3 linked regions of the Caenorhabditis elegans genome follow. The protein of the gene in region 1 interacts with the protein of each later gene in a pairwise test. Each region holds a gene or a part of one and is shown on either strand. Other genes may lie near its edges. The genes, in order: nhr-62, dmd-6 and egl-18.

Region 1 (8,273 bases):
AAACCAGAAAGAGCAACATGTCACATTGAAAAGTCCCAGGAAAAAACTCGACAAATTGGGGTAAGAAAAGGCAAAAAAAGAGTCAAAACGGAATGCTAAAAGCATTTCTTCTCAGAGCCTTGGATAAAGTAAAGGAAAAAGAGAAAAAAAAAGAGAAAGCTGTAGTGGTCCAACCCTGTTAGTTTCCGGTTAAAGTAATGGAAAGGAAATGGATAGAAAGTGGACGAGAAAATGAATGTCATGACAACCTTGTTTTTATTTTTCATTCTTTCAAATGGTTATACATATGTATTTATTCCTTGTTGTTCATCACTTGAAAGTGAATACAAACAACAACAGGAGCACAAAAATGATAATATCAGCTAATTTAAGATTGGTTTCTTCCAGTTCGAAACAATACAATTCTAGATGATTAGGTTCACACTGTTCGTGGATTGAAACGTCCGCAATGTGTGCATTACGAACTGTCGTTTTCGTGATGCGTCCATACTGAGACAGTTTGCGTCCGTCGCAAATTAACTGTGTGAAAGGTTTCGGGAATATTCGTAAATGATAAAGTTTTGAAAAATCATGGAATGTTCAACAATTTCATTGAAAGAAAAATTCAATAAAGTTCGATGTAAGTCTGGAAGGTTCCCAAAGTCTTTGAATATTTCTGATGTTTAGCTAACTTAAGTTATAGACCATTTTTCAAAAAAAAAACCCAGTTTCACCCATAAAACTAATGAAATAAAGTATTTTTCATATGTTCTTATTGTTTTGTCGTTTATTTTTTTCATACAATCCAAGAAACAAACTGGAATATAAAACTTTATAAGCGTCATAATAATTATTCAAAAATAATTATATTAAGAGAATTAAAAACCCGTCGCCGTCTTCGACTTTTGAAATCCGAAAGTTCAAGGTGTCTCATAAGAATTTTGAATAAACTGAACTTCATGGCAAAGATATTCACTTGGCACAACGTGTAGGACCTCCATCAATTGAATGTTGTCAGAAGTGAGATACACGAGATTCTGGAAATATTATGACTCAGAACTTTGTGGACAATCTGGTTCTGCTAAACTTTGCAATGTCAAGCACATTGAAGCATTAATTCTTGAAACCCTTACCGTAGTCGCCGAGAGAAGAATCATCATTTTGGCAATTCGAACTGCTGCTTGACTTTCACTACTATTTTGTGTATCATCTCCATTTTCCATCGCCTCTCCATATTCTTTTGAGTTCACATGATGATGAAGCATGCGAACGAATCGGTTTCCAACCATTCGAACATGTTCTTTTCCAGCTGGTGTCAAATCAGCAAGTTCTGTAATCTCTGAAATAGAAAATTCAAATATTTCTAATCTACCAAGCATCATGCTCCACTTACCATCACTGAAAATGATAACTGCCAACATTAGAACAATTTCAGTTTCATCAAGATTCAATTCTTTAATTGGAATACTCAATGAGTCATACATTCGTCCACTTGATCCTTTAACATCAGGAATACATTGAGCTTCTGGTTGTTTTGGGAAATATGCTCCATTCGAGTAACATACTCCCTCACATCCTGCTTGTACAGTCCAATTTGCACACATCCACCAGTGAAATGTCCCGTATCGATTTTTGGCAAGAACAATTTGATCTTCAATTGACATTTGATTGTACTCAGGAAGAGCTCTTAACCAATCAGAGAAAAGTACAAAATTCCTTTTCCATTCATCCATTACATCTTTTACAGTTGCAACCCGTCTTCCAGTAATATCCAAAGGAGTTCTTGGACCAATCATTTCAGGATTATAGAATGCATTCATAAATGCGATTTTCGTTGTTTCAGTCTCCATTTTCATATCAAAATTTTCCCGTTTTGTCACTGGATCTACATAAGAACAAACTGCTCTATGCATTTCAACTATCTGCTCAGAAAGTTTTGCCATTTCCAGCTCCATACTTGGCAAAGGCGCGGAGTTGTTTGACGATGGTTTTTGTTCATCTACATCTGTTTGAATTTCAACAGAACATGTATCCGGAGACGACAAGTCTTTATAATCGTCCTCTTCAATTTGATTTGGCGATCCATTTTGTTCTCGTTCGACTCGTTCCGACTGGACAGCTCGTGGATTCATTCCGGCTACAAAGCATTGTTTCAGGCGACAGGCTCGACAAACGTTTCGATGTTCTGGAACATTGGGTTATTTTAAAGAAAACTGGGAATATTCGATAAATCGATATCAAACATTTGAAAATATTTTCAAATCGTATTTTCCAATATTTTGCTCTATGCTTCGGTATTTAAAACATTAGATTATTATACCGAAACGGACAGTCTTTGCAAATCATGCCCATGAACTGTATCTTTGTAGCCTAATAAAGGATAAGAAAAAAAAATAGTCACGGAGAGGATTGAATTTCCAATCATCCGATGATTAACTTTAATTCTCGAACATTCACACTTGTGAAACGACGAGGCACAGAATCGATCGTACTCTTTAAAGGTGCACTCGCTTTTTACACATCTAGAAGTTTCTGGTAGTGACGAGACCAAGTACAGTACATAATTCGCTAAAATTTGCGGCGGGAAAAAAAAATTTCCACAACTTTTTGAACTACAAAAACTACATCTTTTTTGTTCAAACACTCGGTAAATAAGTTCAAAATTTTGTTGTGTAACTTCACGTAACAGCACACATGAAGTGATCACAATATTTTGTGTTCGTCATTATTTGGTTTAGAAACGATTGAGCTCAATTTTGAGTTTCTAAATGAGCCTGGTTTAATTTGAAAGAGAACCTTTTAAATAGGTCCTTCAAAAAAGTTAGCCGCAAGGAGAAGATTGAACTAATTTTCGAGTTATTCAAGTCAAAACTGCTCACCTTTTGCAATTGCACATCGTCCCTCAAATCTACACAAGTATTGCCGGTTGTGCCAAACACTGCAATTAAAATAATTTTATTTTTTCAAATGTTTTTTTCCAGTTATTCATTTTTCATATTGTTATTTGCAGTATCATTGACACAAAAGATCATATGATCATATGAAAATAGAAAAGGAATACACATTTCGGTCTTGAGGAAACTCACGTAGCGGCGCAAAAGAGAGAGAGGGGGAATGGACAGATAAGGATCTTGTACAAAACCTGGCTAGATATCAATACACACGATGATTTGATATGAGTGATCAAATTGAACTTTCCAATTTCGAACAATTAAGAAATCAAATATAAAGTCTGCAGGAGTATGAACTGTATTCAATGAACTACAGTACTACTTGAAAACTACAAAAATTAGGAAAACATTCTATGAACTATGATGTTCCATTGTTCAATTTTGAAGAATTGTTAGTGTAAACATTCAAAATCTATTGCAAAAGGAAAGCTACGTTGTATCCCAAACTTCAAAATAAACTATTTGAACTTATTGAAAGTTTCACTCACAACTAATTCCCGAAAAGTTCGAAAATGTTGAAAATGGCCAAAGTTATCTTTGAATTAATTCAACAATTTAGAAAAGAAAAGTACAAAGTACTAGTAAATGACTGATCTTCTGATGTTCTATACCTTGTACATCCGGAGCCCGGAAGCAGGTAGCTGAGTTCCAGTTTTTGCAAAAAGTCACATACAATTGACGTCAGTGATTTTTTTCATGGAACAACAATAATTGGAAACTCACAAAAATTACAGACTCTCTCAATGTGACATTATATTTCAAAGAACCATATTTTATCTCATATCAAATATAGTCTTAAACTAGAGTTTAGCGCACTTTTCCATGACAATGTGTGTAGGAATTGAGCCAGTTCTATTGAATTTTGTAAATTCTAGCGTTAACGACCTATAAAATGAATTTTTGATCTTGTACAAAATGGCACACGAACACACTTGTAAACTGTGGTTTGTAGTTTGTTTTGTGATGGGATATAGCATTACCATATCTGTATCCATACTGCAGGCACAAAACACTTTAGTGATAGCAAACAACAAAATTTAACAGTTTCAGTGGAAAGTTAGGCTTAGAAGTAGGCTTAGGCTTAGACTTCGGCTTAGACTTAAGCTCAGTTCTATTTCAAAAGGCTGTGGTCTTTGTCACATCTATTTCCAAACCTTGCAATCAGTTTAGAACCTACACGAAGATTATCTTTCTGTGCTCAGAAGAGTGTCTTATCCTTTTCTAACACTTTCATAATCCGCACATATCCAAAAACTCGGGAAATAAATTTAAAAAACTTTCTGTTCCGTTCCCTGTCACAATTATCCTATTCAGTGTTCAATTTGGCCAATTGTTTTGAATCAATGATCTCCTCATCAACCCATCATTTGATCGTTTAACCTTTTCCGCCACCTCATGAATATTTGTATATACAGAGAGACCCCCCTTCTATCCTCTACTGTCCATTGTTTCTTCTCTATACTCTCTTTAAAAGTCTTTCCCGCACCATGCGTGAGAAGGAGAATAAGGGAAAAGAAGTGCAAAAATCAAAGGATCAAGAGATCATGGTTTACCTTCTACGAAAGAATCCTTTGCATCCATTACATGCATTTACGCCATAGTGTTTTCCAAACGCTTGATCCCCGCAGACTACGCATACCAGGTTTATCGTCGAGTTCTTACGTCGACCTCTTCCATGTCCTGAAACAATTGATCTATTGAGCTTTTGACTATGAAAGGTGGGGTACTAGAGTCTTGTTGGCCTATAAAGGACACGATGCCCAAATGGCAATACGTCATGACAGTAACTACAAACTCCATCGGGAAGGCAAATTTTTTGTTTGACTAGATGATTTGGACATGATAATAACAAGCATGTTTCTGCTTGCAAAGGAGGTAGAACGTGTAAGATTAAAATTTTTGCAGAATTCTTCTTTCTGATTTTTGAACGAATTTATCTTAAATCCAGAAGGATAAGGACTATTTTATGTTTTCTTGTAGGTTTTGCAAAAAAATCCGTTCAAGAAAACAATCTTACAAAAACAAAACTATGTGGTTTGAACTATTTGTGTCTTTACACAGAAAAACTACAAGTGGTTATTGTTTGTGAAACATCAGTTTTTAGTAGTTTGAACTTCAGGAATTGAAGACTCGACTAATTGACTTCTAACATGATCTGATTGACATATATATATATATATAGTTACAGTAACGGCAAATATAACGTATGTTCAGAATACCGTATTTATTTTCATTTTAACATCTCTTTTTTTTTGACATCTCAATCAGCGTTTTGTCGAAAAATTAAAAAAAAATTTTAAAAATATTGTTCTACTTTAATATAGTTGAAAAATTTTCAAAAAATCAAAGACAACCGAGATATAAACTAATTGCCTTTTTGAAATTACCACAAGTTGGTCGATTTCTAGAAAAAATTATACTGTGCCTGAAAGCAGAGGGTACATTTTTTGAGCTTTCAGATTTAAAAATCCCCATCGACAATTTTTCGAACAGTTCCACAGGTTTGTTTCCTTGATCTTTCTGTGATATCATGATGTAAAGCACAATCTTTTTTTGATGTAGGAAAGCAAAACATGATTTGAAATTTCAAACAAAAAACCAATAAAAACTTTGCAGATAAAAATTGTTATTTTCTCACCAAGTTTGCTGCAAACATTTGAGTCCAAAGAACAAAAAATCAGAAACGTTGTTCAATAGAACCTTTAAAGAATTATTGAAAAATAAAAACTAATAAGAAGCATTAAAAATTCATAAGAATTCGCTGCAAAAAGTCCATAGAACGAAACAACTAAAATCACAAATCACAAGTCACACAGCTAACCTGTTGTCGTATGATGAGCAGATGATGTTGATGTGTGCATTGTTACAGGTAAAGCTTGATGTTGGTAATGATTGAATGTTGGAGTTGTTGGATTGAAGACACCCGGATAAGTGGCACCTAATGATTGTTGTGTGGTGGTACTGATGAATGTGACAGGACTTGGTGCGATTGCAGTGGTTCCCTGTCCGAAATGGACAGCGTGCCGTAGAATATCGTCAATGGCGCTTGGTGAGAGAGTTGAGAACATTGTAGATGAATCTGAGAGAATTAGAGTAGTCAAGATGAAGAGGCGGAGTTTAAAAAGGTAATCGAGAAGGTGGAGAAGATGGTGGGAGGAGGTGGAGACGGAAGCAATCGGAAGCAACTAAGAACGTGAGCAACATTTTGATCGGATATGAATGGGCGGCGTGTGATATGAGAACGGAAAATCATGATCGTCTGACCAGAGTTCTGTTTCGTAAGCTGCGTCTATCAACGAGATGCAAGAGGATTTTGTAGCCTTTTTGAAAACTATGCAAATAAATATATAAGAGACACAGGATATAAAAGGAACAATACAATGTTTGAGAGGTGAGACCTCTCTTCGGACTGTTTTGTCTTTCCGTATGGACCAGAGCACATAACAACATTGTTTCAATGGTCACGGCTAATCAAACGACACTATAGTTGAAATGCATGACGTGGAAATTGAGAGAGGAATACCTTGAAATGCAAGGAAGCAAAAATGATTTTCGGAAGAGGAAGCTAGTTTGTGTGTAGTCTACAGAGTACAAATACTACAGATACTACAAATACTAATCACCAGAAAAAGTTTTCAGGTTTAGGTGTTGTTTAGCAAATATCCTTCTAGCGTGCACTCTCTGAAGAATCTTAACTACCAGGTCGAGGCGTGACAGGGGCGCTTCTTCCCTAAGGTAAAAACTGTTTTCCAACTTTATGCAAATTTTGCAAATTTTGATTTAATTCAGGTTGAGTTTATATCTCCTCACAATTTAAAGTTCGAGTTAGATCTTCTCGCTCGGGAACGCCTTTGAAAAATTAAATTGCCGAAAAATTGCACGCAAGGGTCGGTAGGGCGAAACGAGGGCGAGTTAAAGATTCCCCTATCAGATCTCTCATGCACTCTCCACACAAATGTACGTTCTGAGCTACTAGTAATTAATTAAAGGAGATAATAATTGAAGGTTTTGTTTATTGAAGCCCTGAAATGCAATTTTTTCCGAATTAAAACAAAAATCAGAAGGTTAAAGGTGCATTGACATTTAAAAGTTTTCAGATCTCTGACGCAAAGTCAAGAATTCGAATCAGTTCAATGAAACAAAACATCATTGTCTTTTGACAAAAATCATCAAAAACTGTGTTATCAGTAGCTCAAAATGTTAAAGAGGTGTGTGTATATGTGTGCAATACTAATGCACCTGGTATCATTCATATTTGAGTTCTAATGTTTGGAGATGATGCCCTCTTGCACCAAAAGATCAAAAGTTTGAGATTTTATTATTATTTTCTGAAATATATGCAAATGTGTGTCTAGCAAAAGAATATGTGAAGGATTAAAAAGATTGCAAAATCAAACATTCAAAAGTTTTTTTAAAAAATGTTAAAATCGCATAATTGTATAGTCTTCCTAGTTGCTTAGCTATTTGAAGGTTTTTTCTATTATGCGGTTATTTTTCATATCAAAAGTGCATACAAATGTAAGCTTTTTTGGATACTTAGGTTAATGGAAACATTTTTTTTAGAAACGTTTTCCATGAGTCTTATTTCTTATTAATAAAAATCACGGAGGGCTTCAAACATGCAGTAATGCATCTTCTCAAAAAGTCAAAAATGTTCTCAAAGTTTGAGGGCTCCAATACTTTGGCTAAAACAATTTTATTGTTAACTTTGTTGTCTGGTATTTTTGATATACTTTTGAAATAGTTCACCTTGTCGCTTCCCTGATTGTGAGTTCTCAATTATGAGGCACAAAAGTCTAGAAAAAGTGAGCAAACCATGTTGTATCTTTACGATAGCTTGGTCAACTAATCCAGGTTTTAAACTGAGCTGTAACCGGTTCTCTGTTGTTACAATTTGTTGGAATTATTCAAAAATTAGTATCCTCAATCGTAAATCCTCAATCAAACAATTGGAATATGTATCTTGTGCTGATCCATTTTGAAACTACGATCACTGTCCCCATTCTCCTGTACACAAATGATGACAAAAAGTGGTGCGCGGGGTTTGGCAGGAATCATCTTGTGCCATAAGCTTTGACTACAAAACATATACAGGCACAATGACACATTTTAACGTAAATCACAAAACACAGTTCAAAAATTTCAAATATTCGTATTTTAAATTTTGGCAACTTGAGGCTTCAAAAATGTATCAAGGAAAACAAAAGATTCAGATTTTTCCCAATCAGAAAAGTTTACGGTAGACTGATAAAAACAGATAATCAAATACCGCCTCGACATTAATTAAGACTAAACATTTTGAACTGTTATCTGACTACACGCGTAGTTTGTAGTTAAGAATAC
Region 2 (9,031 bases), on another chromosome or scaffold:
GGTGGCTGTGGAGTAGCGACTCCGACTGGTTTGAATGGAGACATCTGTGGTGTCAAGATTGGTGTCTGACGCTGAAGCATCGGAGAAGTCGTCGTGGAGATTTGGAATGGCAGCATTGGACTCGAGGTCGATGGAATGTCCAGGAAAGACGTCGGCGTGATCATTGAAGGCATACAAACCGGAGTAGACATTGGAATCTGAGCAAGTGTGGAGGCCAGTGACATTTGTGGTGATGGAGTTAAAGCGATCGGCTGAGCCAATTGCATTTGTGTCACTGGCTTCACATCTTCATCCTCCTCGTTCACAAAAATTCTCATCGCAGGAATCGTCGGAAGTGTGATGAATTTGCCCTTCACCTTCTCATCAAGTGACATCTTCTTTGCGGCGACAACCGGGATGTCTGGCGTGTGAATCTGAAAAATACATGTATGAGAAATGATGAATCACAATTAGGCTAGAAAAGGGTGATGTCGACGGCTCGCCAGAACCATAGATCACTCTCTAGAACTCTCTAGAAAACTAGACAACTAACCGTTGGCGGAGCAACAAATGTGTGAGCACGCTTCCTCATTGGGCCAGGTGATGGAGATCGGGTGAATAGTTCAGGCTTTGTGAGTCTCTCCTCTTCAAGCCTCTTTCTCTCTGATGCACACTTGGCCTTCCAAATATCATAGGACATGACTGTCATGTGCCCAAGTGAGCCACTTCGTCCTTCAAGACCATTAGCTGTGGGCATTGTGGAGTTGGAACGAGTGATAGGAGTCGTCTGAAATGGAATATAGTTGAGCATGAGATTGGAAATGAGCTCAAGAGTATGAGAAGATAAAGTAATAACAGGGCTCGCGCACCTGCTCCGCCTATTCTGACAAAATGTGAGCGCCGCTGCGTGAGGAGGGAGCCAGAGCAGCGTGCGAAGAGAGAGAGAGAGAGAGAGAGCGCATGCTTTGGAGCAGGAGCAGATTAAAAACCATAAGATCAGAATTTTCCCTCTCTCACTGGTTCTGTCGTCGACGTCTTCTTCTCATGCAGCTGTTAGGTCAAGGTGCGCGTGAGAGCTATGAGCAGACTAGAATATTTTCCTAAGAAACCGCGATTTCAGAGAAAGAAAGCCAGCTAGCTATTGACAGATGCCTTACACATATGAAGTGCAAAACAAGAGTCTAGTTTAGGTGGAGAATACTTACCGATGAGGTTCTCGTCTCCGAGTCCATGTCTGGTGTTGAAGTTTTTGAGCAGAATGAGGAACGGCGGGAGAAGCCTGAAAAGTTTCGAAATATTGAATTGGAACATATTGTGTGTGTGTATGTGTTGGAAAAGAAGAAAATGGAAAGTGTTTCGCGTTTCACTGCAGAATGAGAAACAATAGAAAATCGAATGCATCTTTCTTTCTCTCGGGGGGCCCCGAGTGTGGGTATATAGGACAGGTACTAGGTGCCGGATAAAGATCAGTAGAGGGACACAAGGGTTCCGTACTTGGGAAAGGAGTCTCGCACTGGATAATGCCGCCGGCTTACGACGGAGTGAAATGGGAGACGAAACATGTTGAGAGAGAGAGAGGAAGAAGAAAGAGACGCGAATAGAAATTCGGTGATCTTTAAATCCTTCACTATTTGGTGCGACTGGTGTGTTGCTCACCTTTTTTACATTATTTTTTCATAGTCTGTGTACACTTACTCCCACTGATTCAGTCCTATTAGAAAAGAGAGAGAGAGAGAGAGAGAGAGAGAGAGAGAGAGAGAGAGAGAGAGAGAAATGAAAAAAAATGTATATGAAAGAGCAGCACACCAAAACACAGGGATCATACGTAATGTGAGCTAATGTGATTCACCATTTGCCTACGTCAACGCCATTTTGATGATTTCTAATCTCTATTCATTTATATGTAGACATCGAAAATTGAGAACAAGAAAAGTGACGGAAATCTGTTTACAGTCGAGCCGGCGGCTCCAGACACATACTTGGAATTTCTATTTCTGTTTGGCCAGCATACGCGCATACGTGCTCAATCTAACCATCGGTCAGCGGATATTCAAATGATAATTGCTATTATTTTGAACTGACACGAGATATGTGCCAACCGTCGTGAGTCATTGAGACACCAAAGCATAACTTTGTAGACAGATAAATTGAGTGGGAAAATTGTGAAAAATGAAAAGGAGAGAGAGAGAGAAAATAATTACGTATAATCAAATGCAAAAAGATCGTAGACGGGCTGCATAAGGGATCAAACCAGGGAGCTAAAACTCAAAACGGAAGACGTTCCAAGGAGTTTAGCTCAATTTTTTGAAGACAGAACCGAAATTATAATACATAAAAATGAAAATGAAGACTAGACGAAATGCCTGAAATATTCGCGAATAACAGAAGAGACAGTCGTCCTCGGGAGGCTGGGCACACAAACACATACACAGAAAAGTGATTGTGTACTGAAAATGTGAGCGCCTTTTCGTCATCCTCTCTGTGTGTGTGTGTGTGCCTTAAAATGTGAAAAAACGTGGAAAAACGAGAGGACGATGAGAACCGAGTAGACTAGTAGTTGCGAAAATCAGACAGGGCAAACGAGAAATAGTACAGATGTGATGAGAGTGTGCAGACGCAATGAGAAAGAGTGCAAGGTCCTGAAGCGACCGAAGAGAAGGGATGAAAGGGGGGGGGGGAGGAGGAGAAAGAGTTGCTGGAATGTACTAAAAACAAGTAGATGGCGAATGAGCAAAACAAAAAGGTCAGTGGAGGGTTCGAGTCGATCAGGACACACATTTTTGTATATATCAAGACGACGAAAACAAGATTCGTAGATTCGAGGGATGGAACTAGGAAATAGAATTTTCAGCGATCTAAGAACACTTGTTCTGAATATAGAATTTTGTTATTGCGGCGTTCCAAAAGTGCGACGAATTACACTGGAACGATCAGAAAGCGCAAGAATCAGGTGATTTTTGTAATGGTATAAAGGAAAAAAACTGATAACACTATCAAAAGATTAGTCTAGTACCGGTACCTACAGTCTACTTTTTTGCAAAAGTTGGGCAAATAGTTGCTTTGTTTTTGAAAAGTGAATGTCATGGGATCGAATTTTGTAGTAAACTCTTGAAATCAAAAGATCATGTCCTTTCCAAAATATCTAACAAATATGAAACATCATCGCAAACTCCAAAATAGTTTTGAAATAACACTTGATCTTTCAGTGGTTCTGCTGTCTACGTTGTTAGTCATACAGAGATTTTCGATCGCGTACGAGAAACGAACAAAACAACCGAGTACATTTTTGTGGAAATCTAGACGGAAGTTATGCATATTTGTGGGGGAACTAGGGAGTAAGCGCCAAAACACAACTGAGAAATCAGAGATCTATGGGTACTATATGGATTCTAATTTGATAGTGAAGGAGTAGGAGACAGAGATCAGGGAAAAGCTCACCTTCTTCATCGTCAACACTGGATCCGGATTCTGGAGCATGTCTCTTTGCATTCAGAGCTGCTGCCAACTCGATCTTTTCCTTATTTCTCTTGTTGAACGACTTCAGGCGCTTGTAGTTTAGCTTCTCGCACTAAAATTTGAAAATTTGAAAACAAAATAGCTCCCAGACTCTTCTAGAACTTACCGATTTGCAATTGCACAGAATATATGGGCACTGTGGTGAGTGATTCTTGAGGATCACCTTCTCGCCGTGTCCTTCGCACTTTCGGCAGTAAAGGATGCGTCCCTTTGGCTTTGGGGAGTCCATGTCTTGGGATGATGGAGAGTAGTTCTCGTTGCTGCGGTGATGATGATGATGATGCTCGTCGTCGATGGTTACAGTAGCGATGATGTGTGGGCTCATTTTACTGAAAGAATTGGGAATTTGAGATATGTACGGAAGGAGAGCAAAAGATTTTTCAAAGTAAGACTTCTTACGAACAGCGTGAAACAGGAATTCTTTTAATTTTTTAAGTTTAAAATATGTGTAAAAAACAGACCTCTAGAAACAGAAAATTGAAATATTAAAAAATTTCAATAAATTTTAAAAATTAGTGTTTCAAAACTTGAATATTCGTTGGCTAGTTATGATTTACATAATGAAGCTCCCGAAATTTCGAAAAAAATCTAATTGTCTTACTGAATTTAATGATTCACAGTAATTCTGCTAGATGCACACAGCAAATTGATGCAACATGATCACTGTATAAACTTGTGAAAATAATGAAACAGTAATTTTTCTTCAAGACATATATATTCCAAGAGTACTACAGTAATCCACAAGAGCTTAACCTTAGCTAACCTAAAATCATGAAGACTGATCAGGAATAGTGACAAAAATGGAGGAGGAGCTCCAAGGGTCAAAGCGGAAGTTACAAAGGGACCTACAAGAGAGTAAGAGAAAAAAATATGTAATTTCTTTTTTTTTTCCCATTCGAAAAAAAACACACTCGATGGGTGTGTGTTCCAGCTTCCTCGTTCCTATTTTTCCAGTCCCTAGTGGTTCAATAATCACATATGCGGGGAACACACACACACAGGGGGGTGTTCGAAGATCACTCGGGGTCTACTAGTCTGGGCTCGAAAAGCTCAAAAATTGGGTGAAAAACATGCTAACGCGAAGCAGCAGAGACACTGGAGAACACAACACAAATTGTGATCTAGAACACACACAGAGAGAAATAGATGACCAGGCGAACGGAGCACAAAACAGAAGAAGCAGAACACGGAAATGAGAGGATGGTTGTGCAAAATAAGTAGAAAATATCTAGAGGAAGTAAATTAAGACATTTTCAGACAAGGAAATAAGCGTTTAGATGGAGATAACTAGGTTACTGTAGATGATTTTTGAAAATTGGAATTCTTAATGAAAATTTACTGTTTCACAGAAAATGTTTAAGAGTTTTAAAACTGGAACTGTAATATTTATGTGATTCTATTAGTAATAAAAAAACTCACATCAGTAAAGGATTTGCAAAAATTTTAAAAATCGAAAAAAAGTTACTGTTTCACGGAAAATGTTTGATTATTTCAAAGTAGAGGCATACTACTTGTAGAACGACAGGAAAATTACGGTTTCAAATTTTGAAATTTAATAACACTTTCACTGTAAATTTTGTGAAATTTGGCATATGAATTTGATTACTGACTAAAAATAACAATTTACTCCTAATAAGAAATACAAATCAAAAATTATGTTGCGGTTATGTATACGTAAAAATTTAAAAACAGTGAAATTTTTCACTGTTTCAAAATATGCATTAAAAATGTTGTGGACTCTTTTTTTTTTGCTATTACCAACGAAGTAGGTTCATCATTTTTCAACAAAAAATATTTATGTAGATTTTTAAAATCTTATTAAAATTTTGAATTCGAATTTTTGAAATTTCAAATTTTGAAGAAAAAAATTACTGTTTCAAAATAAAAATATGAAAAGTTCACAAAGTTCAAAGTGCTTTCGACAGAATTTAAAAAATATAGAAATTAATACAAAACACATCAATTCCATAGGTACAAAGTTCCGTAAGTTCGGTTCTTTGTTGCTCCTCCTCTACTACACACGGCACACAGAAAATGAACATAAAATTGGGCGGTACAAAGTTTAGGCGGGGTGTGCAAATATTTGACCTACTCTCCACCTCCTCCCACTAACCGGGTTGAATGACTGAAGAGGTCGAAAAGTGTGTTTTTGATCACAAACTTTATCATCATCATTCTGTGACTTTTCCAGAGAAGAAAAATCTAGAAAAAGTCAAGAAAAATGATTCAAAAAAATAGGAAAAATAAGTGATCAAAAAACTGGAGTTGGGGGACCCGCAAAAACAGAGAACACAACCGCCAGACAAAACATTTCTTCTTTTTCTTCGTCTCTTTAAAGATCGCCGAGTAAATTGACAACAAAAAGCTCAAAGTTTCAGTGTTTTTCTCTTTGAAGCAGGAACAAAAATTTTCAGCTTCTTTTCAGCTGAAGCTCAAACTTTTTTAAAAGAAAAAGACATTGTGAAACAGAAAAGTTCCCATTTCTTGTAAGAAATGACTAACAAGTGACACGGCAAAAAGTGAAAGAACTGGCAAACACGTAGCCTTTGTAGTCTACAAAATGTGTCTACAAAATGTACAATAAGGTGAAACTTTTAAAGAAAGAATAGAGCAAACACTTAAAAAAAATGGAACTTTTTTCAAAATTTTGAAACAGTTGAAAATTTTTTAATCAGAATAGTTTAGTTTATTGGGACCAATACAGGGCGATATCATAGCAAAAACAAACATTTATTTGTGAATTTCAGAACTTTTTGAAACAGTAAAATATTTTTGAAACCAAAACTTTGTGGTTGTCAGCCAAGCTACAAGAAGCGACGAAAATTATTGCAATTTTCAAACTTAAGTTTTGTTTATAAAAAAAAACAATGCTCTCTGTGTAAATTTCAAAATGTTTTGAAACAGTTAATTTTTTCCAAAGTCCAAAATTTTGAATTTTTTCCGTTTCCTCCGCCACGTCATTTGCACTAATTTTGTGCTTCCGACTAACATTATACAAACATCTTCACCGGTTTTCCTAGACACCTCAAGTGGCTAAATATGTTTGCAACAAAAAAAACACGAACTTACCAATGACCAGCTCCACAAAATAATATTTTTTTTTGATTGTTGAGCCACACGAGCTCCAACCAAAAATGGCTTCTTTTTGATGATTTGGCAATGAAAGTGAGATGAAGTCTGAAAAAAGAGGAATTTCTTTAAAAATTTGCGGAGAAATTGTATAGTAAATTGGAAAGAGAGAAGCCAAAATTGTGATTTTTGAAAAAATTATGGAAAAGTTTTGCATACGAAATCTGTTTAATACGATTATTTTTCACGTGCGCAGAGGGAACCGAAAGATTAAAAGTATATATGGAGAGAAAACTGTCGGAAAATGTTGGACGAAGTTTAATCAGTGAGGTTTTGTTGAAAAGTTTAGAAGAAACATTTTTGAAACAGTGAAAAAAATTTCCAAAAAAAAAAGAGTACAATTAGAACCTGTAAATTGAAAATTTTAATCAGTGATTCTTAATGCAGAAATTCGATCACGTTTTCATCGAAAAAGCCAGTTTCCACGCAGCTTCAGATCCCAATCAAAAACGATCCAGAATGAAGTGAAGATGAGGAAATGCAATGGAAGGGAATAACGAGTGTATTAAACTAGACACAGTTCGTATTAAGGGCGTATGTAGGAGTTTCAAGGTAGAAAGAGGCCGAAGCACGGGAGATGAATATCTTGAGGGATTTTTTGGGAAGTTTCTTGACTGTAACAGGAAAAAAAAGAACCGAAGTTATTGAGAAATGAAAGTTGAAATTAGGAACATGCAATTTTGAAACAGTATTTTTTTTCCGAAAAGTTAAAATTGGTCAATTTTGGCGGGAACGGCAGTTCAACAGATTTAAATATATATTTTAGCGAAATTTATATTAACATTCCAAACAGGTAACAAATTGTGAAAAAAGTTTAGGTTTCTGGCTGTAACAGGAACAAGATGCGACCATTAATGAGAAATCAAGCTTGAACTTAGAAAAATGCGGAAAACAAATTTTTTTGGAAATTTTAGTTATTGCAACTGCACATAAAATTGTTATATTTTCCAGCGACATGGTTTATATTAAGATTCAGAACAGTTAAATAAATTGGAAATAAATTGGATTGAAAAATTGTCGAAAAAATCACCGTTTCCTTATAATAAATTTTAAAACAGTAATTTTTTTTTTTGGAAAACTTAAAATAAGATCGGATTTCGTTAATTTTTCAGTTAATTTCTCACCAACTACACTTACTACAAATACTGAATTCTTGAATGTACGTGTGAATAAAGGTTAGATCCGCCGAGTTAGATAAGAAAAACACGGTAAATGCAGAAATCCCACATTTGAACGGATTCTGCTGCTGGAGGTGGAGATATCGAGTCACAGAATGTTCATTGGGATCTTTCAGAACTACTACTAACACTTGAAACGGCGAGGAATTTTCATGGAATTTTTGAAACAGTGAAAAAAATTTCCAAATTTTAAAAATTTTTAAATTTTGACATTCAAACTTCGAAAGTTAAACTATTAATTTTTATTTCTTGATTTCAAGTTTTAAGATTTACTTCTTAAACTTCTATCCAGAAAATTGTTACTGCTACAAACTACGGCCTACGGATACTACGGATACTACGGAAATTACGGATATTCAATTGGAACTGATGTTACTCAAAAGATCCGTGATCGAGATACAGCCGGGCAGGCGGGGGGTCGCTATGATTTTTGTTGTTACTCTTATGCAAGTAAATTGCACTTTTCTGGCCCCACTAAGTAGCTCACGCTTTTGTAGAGATCAAACGCCCTCCCTGTAAAGGCGTCACATCTCGAAAAATACATGGAGGAAAAGCTGCTTGTGTTGAGATTATGATCAGAGAAAACGATGTTGAACAAGAGATCGCAGAATTTTTTGATTGGAACGAAATAGAATGAAAAACAACTGCGAGAAATATTTTTATAGAATTTGAAAAAAAAAATTGAAAAAAAATTACTGTTTCAAAATTATCACAAAAAAAATTTTGTTGCAAAATTTTTCAGTATTGAGTTATACGTCGGCAGAAAACACTTTAAAATCAAATATCAAGTTTTCTAAGAATTCACAGAACATTGTAGTCTCCAATCATAGTGCGGAAATAAGTAAAGCAGGTGGAAATTATCGAGAAAACTGAACTTCAAACACATATAACTGAAACATCAGTATCTGAAGTTACGAGATTAAAAGTTCGAAATCCTCGCCTCTTATGCTACCGAATGAAGAGATAAAGAGAACCGACATGTGCCATCAATTTGTGGGCGGAGCCTAAGGGTTTCCCCCAACTGGAAATCGTTGAATGAAATGGTGAAATGATCAACGTTTGATAATGCGATAAATCGAAGATCAGCAGACGACAAACATATAATGGATGAAAACGTGATCTTTTGAATTCTCAATTTTATAAATACTCGTTGTCATTGACAGACCCATACATACTAAGGGATGATATGGCGGCGGGATGGGGGCGGAGTTTGATCTTTCTCCAAACTG
Region 3 (7,569 bases), on another chromosome or scaffold:
ACGAGAATCGCGAGAATTCGGACGCAGACTTCTCAACTGATTTAGCACGGTTAAGAACGTGCTGACGTCACATTACTTGAAGAAACAAAGAAAATCCCGCATTTTTTTGTAGATCAAACCGTGATGGGACAGCCTGGCACCACGGGACACAGCAGGAAGTTATGATCAACGTGGATGCAAAAATAAACAAGTTTCTTGGGAATGGCTCAGAATCGCGAAAAACTGAGAAAATAACTTTAAAACAGATTCAGTTTCTTTCTCGAAAATTGTCAGGCGGCGGGAAAATGCTGCGAAATAAGCTCAGTTTCAGCCCATTTTGGCTTATTTCTAAAGTTCCACCAGCTCCTTCCCGCAGAACTTTTGCAACATGGCCGCTAAAAGTTGTCAAAAATCTCACCTTCTCCTCGCTTCCGCTCTCGGACATTTGCTCAAGCAGGACTTTTTCCTTTTCACTGATAAGAGCTTCAAGCCTTCCGCACACTTCGTCAATTTTCGACATCATTTTTGAAACATCCTGTAAGAAAACGAATAGACCGGAGCTTTCAGCGCGGCGATTCAAATTCCTAGAATTTCAGAAATTCTCAATGAAATGAAAAATAATTTAATGTTTCTGGTAATCCGAGAATTACTTCATGTATGCCTGCCTATCGGCATTTGGCTCTAGTTGGCAATTGGGCAAAACTTGGGCAAAACTTGGATTCAGGCTGCACCAAAGTTTCCCCCAACTCTTACCAAACTTTGGTCCAAAATTTTCTTTTTTTTAGTTATACTTGGGTAGAAGTCTGACCAGATTTTAGTTTTGCCAAAGTCTTGCCCAACTTTTGCCCAAGTTTAGCCAGCTTCTTATCCAAGTTAATATTTTTTAGGCCAAACTTGGGCAAGAAGCTGGAGCCAAATGTCGAGAGTAGGCAGGCGCGTGAGCCTACTGCTAAACAAAATAATATGCACCTGTCGAATATCCTTGTGAAGCTGAGCGCATCCGGTGCACGCTGCTGCTGTAGTCGCCGTCTCCTCAACCCGATCCTCCATCTCCTCCTCCACCTCCCGGCTCACCATCTCATCCGGCATCTCCTCCTTCGACGACGTCATCTGTAAATCACGTGTGACGTTGTTTTAGAAGAAGAAGAAGTGGAGAGCGAGAGAGAGAGAGAGACGGAGAGAGACTGTGGAGCGAGGGGAGAGTGCGAGAGAGCGAGAGGACGAAGTTAAAAGCTAAAAGTGATAGAATGAGATACATACGTTTATCCGTCAAAAACCACAAGAGATAAGGAGAGAGAGAGAGAGTGAGATGAGATTTTTTCAAAATAAATATGAAAATGCAAAAATGATGATTCAAGTGAAATGACAAAGTGGTGGGAGGAGGTGAATATAACACAACCATGCACAGAGAATTGGGGGAGGGGCCTCCTGCAGAATGGGGCGGAGCCTAACTATTATTATAAGTTGTCGGAGGAGGAGGTAAAGCTCACAGTCGGAAACACGCGGTGAAGTTGGGGGAAATGGGGCACAATTATTATTAGAAAATTGGCGGAAAATTATTTAATACTGTATTTTTCTGAAGGGGTAATGGAATGATGAAGGATTGCTTATTAATCAATAATACATTATGGAGAATTTCAAATTTCAAATTTCAATAAATAAGAAAAATTACATAAAGGTATTGTGCATAAAAAGGATGTGAAGGGGGAAAAAATAATAATGATAATTAAAATGTGGCACTGCTATTCATGAGCTCTTGAGCCTGCGTGAATTGCGAGATTTGCTCGAGTAAATTGAATGTGTTGATGGCTCCATCAGTGCTCACTCCGCCGGTCGCCATCGTCGGCATTTGTGTGAGGAGTTGGTTGAAGATCTGTGTTGCCGCCGACGACTCTTTTTCCTTGTTCTTTCGGCGGTAGCGTTGTTGGATGTGGTTTTTGCGCATTTCTATTGGTCGGCGAACCTGGAAATTGGAAAATGAATTAGTTGTTAAGGTGGGAAGGATCTGGGTGAGCTTTTGGAAGGATCCTTAGGCATTTAGGAGCTTCTAAGAGGGGGGGGGGGGGTACTGTGAGGATCCTTAAGATCCTAAGTATCCCAGTGTGGTTGATCGCCACAATCGATCGCGCAGAAATCCAAGCAGCATAAGGGTCAGAATTATCTTATCAAAGGATTCTGTAGAATTGTAGATTTTCCCAGAAAATTCAGATCTCAGGATATCGGTGGAAAGATCCTTCGGATAGATCTTCGCGCTGGTAAATTTTAGAAGGATCCGCAGATGATGTGAATGTTCTTACTAGAGGCTGTAGGGGATCCTAGCGATGGAAGGATCGGAAGGATCGGAGGTCTCCTTTGGCTTAAGCTTCGATCTAAAGACTTCCGGTTGTTCTAGCATATCAAAGAATTCGTTGGGATCTCCATTATCACCAAGCTTCTGTCCTAGATAGCCTCACCGGATCCTAAGTCAGATTCTTGGATCCACCTGTCTCCTAATCAGACATCTGGTCTGTCCGGTCGTGATCGTCCCGTTTCCTGCACCGCCAATTATCATTTCTCCCAATTTCATAACCTTGGCCATATTAGATACACACACACACATCCATCTAAGGGCGGAACGTTCTTCTCAATTTGCACACACAATAGAGACAACAATAGGGGTGGTGGTGGTCTTCCATCTTCGGAGACGGCGGCGGGGTGGGCAATTAGGGTGAGAGTGAGTGTACGTGTATCAGCAAAAGGAGGGGGGAGATACAAAGTGGTGGTGAGAGGGGGATCACTCCGTAATTGCCGAATTTTTGATCCAGTGGAACTAATGGAAGGTCTTCTTGGGTATGGATCAGCTGATCTTACACCTTACACCGGAATCTTGAGGATCCTCGAATCACTGGAACCAATGAAACTTCTACAGATCATCAGAATCTTGAGCGATCGCCTCAAGATTGTTGGGATATCCTTGCTAGGTTATTCTCTGATGTTCCACCTCGGGAATCATCGACCTATTCCAGGAAACAGTGAAGCTCTGGTGCTTCTTAAGATCCTCAGAATCCTCAGGATCCTCCCTACAACTACCCCCGCCGCCAAAGTTTCGATATGGATTGGCGTGCGGAACCAAAAAGTCATTGGTGATGATGATGACGACGTTGAGGCTGGATTGTTTGCGCGCGCACGCGTGCACTAGTTTCATCTCCCCCTAATTGTCGGTGCCGGTGGTGAACAATAAGACGTCGTCGTCGTCGTTTCTTCTCCTAAAATGAATAAGAAAAGGAAGAGGTGGAAAGTCTATTCGAGTTACAGGTAATCATTGACTCGTCTCCTTCTGCGGCACGCACGCCGCCGCCGCCGCCGCCGCAGCCGATACGCTAATTATCGAGGTGGAGACGACGACGATGACGACGACCACATAATGGTTGAAGTGATGGAAATTGAAAGAAAGGTAGATACTGTATCGATGATGATGGAGATGATGATGATGATGAGGTGGAGAAGGTGGAGGTACTGTACTTTTGACCTACTGGGGTGGTAGAGTTCGAAATTCTTGATAATGCGGGGATCTTCAACAAGAACCAAGTAACTCAGAGCTTCTGATAAGGATCAGGATCGCATATGGGACGATCAGATGATCTGAAATCTTCACCTGAAGCCCAGGATTGCCAGGCTAAGAGGGTTATCACAGGCTCTCTGGCCTATCTAGGATCACCAGGATCCGAACATTCTCCAGAACGATTAGAGCAGCTTTAGAACCTGGATAGAGCGAATCTTCAGCCTTCAAGGATCGGCAGGACCCGAGAACCTTCTGATAAGATCTAGGATAGCTTGTGGAGCTTAGATCTTAGAGCCTTTAAGGATCAGAAAATCCTAATCTAGCCAAACTGACCTAGAAATCGTCTTCGGATCAATATCAGTCGCACAACTAACACATAAAAAGTAAGAAGACGAAGAAGATGGAGAAGAAGAAGAAGCTAATCTCATATTTCAATCTCCCCTCTCCTTCACTCCTATTTTCCCCTCATTTTGCCGCTATCTTAACTAGGTTGTTTCCTTCTATTCGCATCAGATAACAAACACTCTCTTATTCCCCCCATTAGAAGCTGTTACTGCTGCTACTCTACTGTCGCTGCTAATATCTTTCTGCTAATGAATAACACGACGAACAAACCTTGTGCAATCGATAGTAGAGCCCACACGGATTGCAGACAAGCTTCCCCTCGGCGTCACGTCGCCACGCGGTTGTCTTGTCGGTTCGGCAGTTGGAGCATCGCGCCGCGTTCGGATCACCACTCGTCTCGGTTTTCTCAAACATTGAACTGTCTTGGCTTTGGGATGATGGTGTGGCGACTGCTTCGATGACCGCTTGTACTTGGGATGATGATGATGGTGGAGATGTGGTGGAGGTCTGGAAGAACTGATATGTGATTAGGAGTGAATGTATTTATTGATTGATTGAAGGAGCTGCTGAAAGATCGCAGAGATCCTAAAGAACTCAGGGTGGATCTTAGAAGCTCCTCAAAGATCCTGAAAAACCCTAAAGCAGCTAAGGAGCTCTGGGAGGTTTCAATGGATCCTGGCGACTTTCAAGGGCTCGCTGGAAGTCCGCTGGAAGTCAGGGCAGCAGTTAAAGCTTGTCAAGGTGCGCAATGATCCTGAGCAACTTTGGGAGCTTCCGGACCTTCACAAGGGTTTCCCCAGAAGTAGGCTCCTCAAGGAACCCTGCGAACTCCGATCATAGAGCTTCGGGAACTTCTCCCCAAAGTTCTCGAAAGATCCTAAATCCAATCAGGATCCTAGAAATCCTAAGTGCAAAAAAATCGCGCAGCGGTAGATTTTCAAAAGCGAACGCCGCCTCCCGGGGTGATATATCTTTCCTTTGTTCGCCCCCCCCCCCCCCCCCCCTTTGGCCCTTCCTCAACACTTACCGCCTGTCCGTTGCTGCTAAACTGTGCTGTTAGTGCATCCAAAAGGTTCTGCGCCTCTGTAGCCGTCGGGATATCGGATCGCTCCGACTCTTCCTGTTTCACATCCTGATCCATTGGATCTTCAATTTTCACGGATTTCGATTGTGGTGGGCTCACGGATTGTTGATTCTCAATGTGCTGGTGGTGTTGTTGCTGCTGCTGCTGCTGTTGAACCATTGATAATAATTGCATCATTCCATTTGGATTTGACATATTCAGAGGATCAAACATGAATCCGTTCATCAAATTCGAAAAGTCTGGAAGTGGACTCGCAGCTGCCGGTGGGCTCCGCTCCTTGGGCTTCCGCTTCCGGGCTCCTGATACTGGAGCGACTACTGTCTCGACAAGCTTCGGAGAGCTCCTCGACTCTGCCGGTGATGGTGAGGCTTTTCCCGATGAGACCGATGAGCTTTTCAGCTCATTGTTCTCTTTGAGCAGCTCGTCGAGCCGATACTGAAGTTTGTCCATTCGCTCCATAACCATGCTGATTGTCTGGAAATTTTTTAATTGTTAATGGTTTTTTGAGCTCTAAATTACCTTTGCAACATCCTTCTGTAACTGTTTGCAACCACTACACGGCTCATCTGACGGCCTCTGGAGCACTTCGTGGTGTTGTTGCTCGGCGGATTCTGGTCTCGTTTCCGTCATTATGCTGATCGACATATAGACTGTGTGGAGACACTGCAAAAAATGGAAAATTTAGAGGGAAAATGTGCAGGGGAAGTAAAATATCAAGAGAGTACGAGGATAAAATTTTGACCTGAACAGAGTTGGGGTAGGGCTTAAAATGGGTGATTTTGGACTAAAAAACTGATTTTTCGGGGGACAATTTTATTTGAACCTTAAAATGTACTACTATGGAGGTACCAGAAATTGACGGCCTAAACGGCCTAAAATAGCCGTTTTGTATGGAGAATTCAGGCCGATAAATAGCTTAGTTTTAATTCTTAAAGGGTCAATTTTTATCAATAAAAGCCTATTTAAAAACTATTTGGGGCTAAAAATACGTAGCATAAACATAGGGATCTACTCAAAATTAGCAATTTGGAGATTAAATTTAAGCTATGAATCAGAAAAATGCGGACTATTTCGGCCTAAAATCGGCTTAGTTCAAGCTGAAACTAGACAAAAAATAATCAAAAATATAGGTCAAAACTTTAAAAAGGGAGGCCCTCCTTACTGACAAGAATGGACCAACAAGTAAATAACCATAAAATGACACTGATCAACGCGAAGAAAATGGGCGGGATATTGTGTGGAGAAGAACGCTACTCACCGCCCGTCTCCGCCCCTTTTCCCCCAGCCGGACAAACGTGGAAATTAGGTGGATAGGGGGGGGGGGGGGGGGGAAGAGGGGAGACGATTTGTTGTGTTGTTGTACGACAAATTATGCACGTAGTATCACCCCGACACTAAACCTAATCGATAATTGTAGATGTGCCAAATTTTAGCTTGTCGATAACGGAAGTTGTTTGGAACTGTGCCAAGTGTCAAGGAAACTCGAAATATATCAATTTTTCAAAATTGGTGTCTTTTTTTTTGCATAAAAAAGCTGGAAAAAAACAGATTTTGCCGGAAAACCGTTGTAATTTTTCGATAAAAAAGTGCTAATAATGATCCCTCCGAAAAATTCAGCTGCCCCGGTTCAGGTACAGCAAAGTGATGGCGTTTTGAAAGTCTCTAAAACACCTTATTACAAAATTTCCAAAAACAAAATTGGAATCTTTGCCATGTTTTTTTAAACATTTTTTTGATTTGCTACAATAGTTTTTATCAATTTAAAAAAAAAATTTTTTTTTTGAAAATTTGAGTTTCGGTATAGATTAAGGATGGGCGGCACATCGGCAAACTGCCGGAATTGAAATTTCCGGCAAATCGACAATGTGCCGGTTTGCCGATTTGCCGAACATTTTCTGCAAATTGGGAATTTGCACGTTTTTTTTTAAATTCTGAATTCCAATTTTAATCGGCAAAAAGTGTACGCATCCTTTTGAAAAGTAAACAAATTCTATGATTTCCGGCAAATCTTATGTACGGCAAACGGCAAATCGGAATTTTTTTGGCAAAAATTGCAACTTCCGGAAAATCGGCAAATTGCCGAAATTGAAGTTTTCCGGCAACTCGGCAAACCGGCAACTTACCGACAAAAAAATTGGCAAAACGCCAAGTGCCGGCCACCCATGGTATAAATGCTCAAAATTGGTCGAATCGAGCGGAGAAATCTGTGAAAAAGCTTTCACCGAGCCCTGAGCTAATATGCCAGGTAAAAAATCAAACAATTTTCCAGGACAAGGCTGAATTCTCAGCTAATCTCAGATAACACCTGCCGAGAACCTGTGTGGCGGTAACACCCTGGTGGTCCATCTGACAAGGAGACGATGCACCATAACCGGTCTAAGAGCCCGTAAACAGTGGTGTCCTAACACAAGAAACGATGAGGTGATGAGTCCGTGATGAGTCCGAACAAAGGAATGCAGTGGAGAATGTGAGTGTATGTGTGTGTGTGTGTGACGATGTTAGTGAGAAGATGGTAATCTTCAAACATTCTTATCGATTCGATTGGATGGCTGCTGATCAGAAGAGTTGATTGCGATCTTCTCTTCGAAACGAAGTCTCTCTCTTTTTGCCTCAACTTCTT

The links.
Region 2: the proteins of nhr-62 (region 1) and dmd-6 interact in a two-hybrid assay, tested with the Caenorhabditis elegans proteins (one large-scale study listed by BioGRID).
Region 3: the proteins of nhr-62 (region 1) and egl-18 interact in a two-hybrid assay, tested with the Caenorhabditis elegans proteins (one large-scale study listed by BioGRID).

Annotation. Positions count from the first base shown.
Region 1 is NC_003279.8:9,837,334-9,845,606, reverse strand, and holds nhr-62 (Nuclear hormone receptor family member nhr-62), read right to left. Parts: upstream 6,010-8,273; 5' UTR 5,999-6,009; coding exon 5,752-5,998; intron 4,611-5,751; coding exon 4,484-4,610; intron 2,918-4,483; coding exon 2,859-2,917; intron 2,165-2,858; coding exon 1,373-2,164; intron 1,319-1,372; coding exon 1,113-1,318; intron 1,017-1,112; coding exon 900-1,016; 3' UTR 804-899; downstream 1-803. UniProt on the Caenorhabditis elegans protein: Orphan nuclear hormone receptor. Required for metabolic and physiologic responses associated with dietary-restriction-induced longevity.
Region 2 is NC_003282.8:14,614,244-14,623,274, reverse strand, and holds the start of dmd-6 (DM domain-containing protein), read right to left. Parts: upstream 6,673-9,031; 5' UTR 6,565-6,672; intron 6,212-6,564; exon of another isoform or gene 6,191-6,211; intron 6,106-6,190; exon of another isoform or gene 6,085-6,105; intron 5,920-6,084; exon of another isoform or gene 5,899-5,919; intron 5,269-5,898; exon of another isoform or gene 5,248-5,268; intron 5,142-5,247; exon of another isoform or gene 5,121-5,141; intron 5,028-5,120; exon of another isoform or gene 5,004-5,027; intron 4,900-5,003; exon of another isoform or gene 4,879-4,899; intron 4,142-4,878; exon of another isoform or gene 4,121-4,141; intron 4,078-4,120; exon of another isoform or gene 4,057-4,077; intron 3,864-4,056; exon of another isoform or gene 3,843-3,863; intron 3,825-3,842; 5' UTR 3,821-3,824; coding exon 3,602-3,820; intron 3,548-3,601; coding exon 3,418-3,547; intron 3,094-3,417; exon of another isoform or gene 3,073-3,093; intron 1,752-3,072; exon of another isoform or gene 1,695-1,751; intron 1,259-1,694; coding exon 1,185-1,258; intron 767-1,184; coding exon 533-766; intron 414-532; coding exon 1-413.
Region 3 is NC_003282.8:1,911,497-1,919,065, reverse strand, and holds egl-18 (Putative transcription factor egl-18), read right to left. Parts: upstream 5,621-7,569; 5' UTR 5,595-5,620; coding exon 5,469-5,594; intron 5,424-5,468; coding exon 4,893-5,423; intron 4,382-4,892; coding exon 4,136-4,381; intron 1,943-4,135; coding exon 1,706-1,942; 3' UTR 1,228-1,705; downstream 1-1,227. Other genes in the region: Transcription factor elt-6, read right to left, coding at 398-514, 949-1,089. UniProt on the Caenorhabditis elegans protein: Probable transcription factor. Involved in embryonic development and in vulval development in larvae, acting redundantly, at least in part, with elt-6.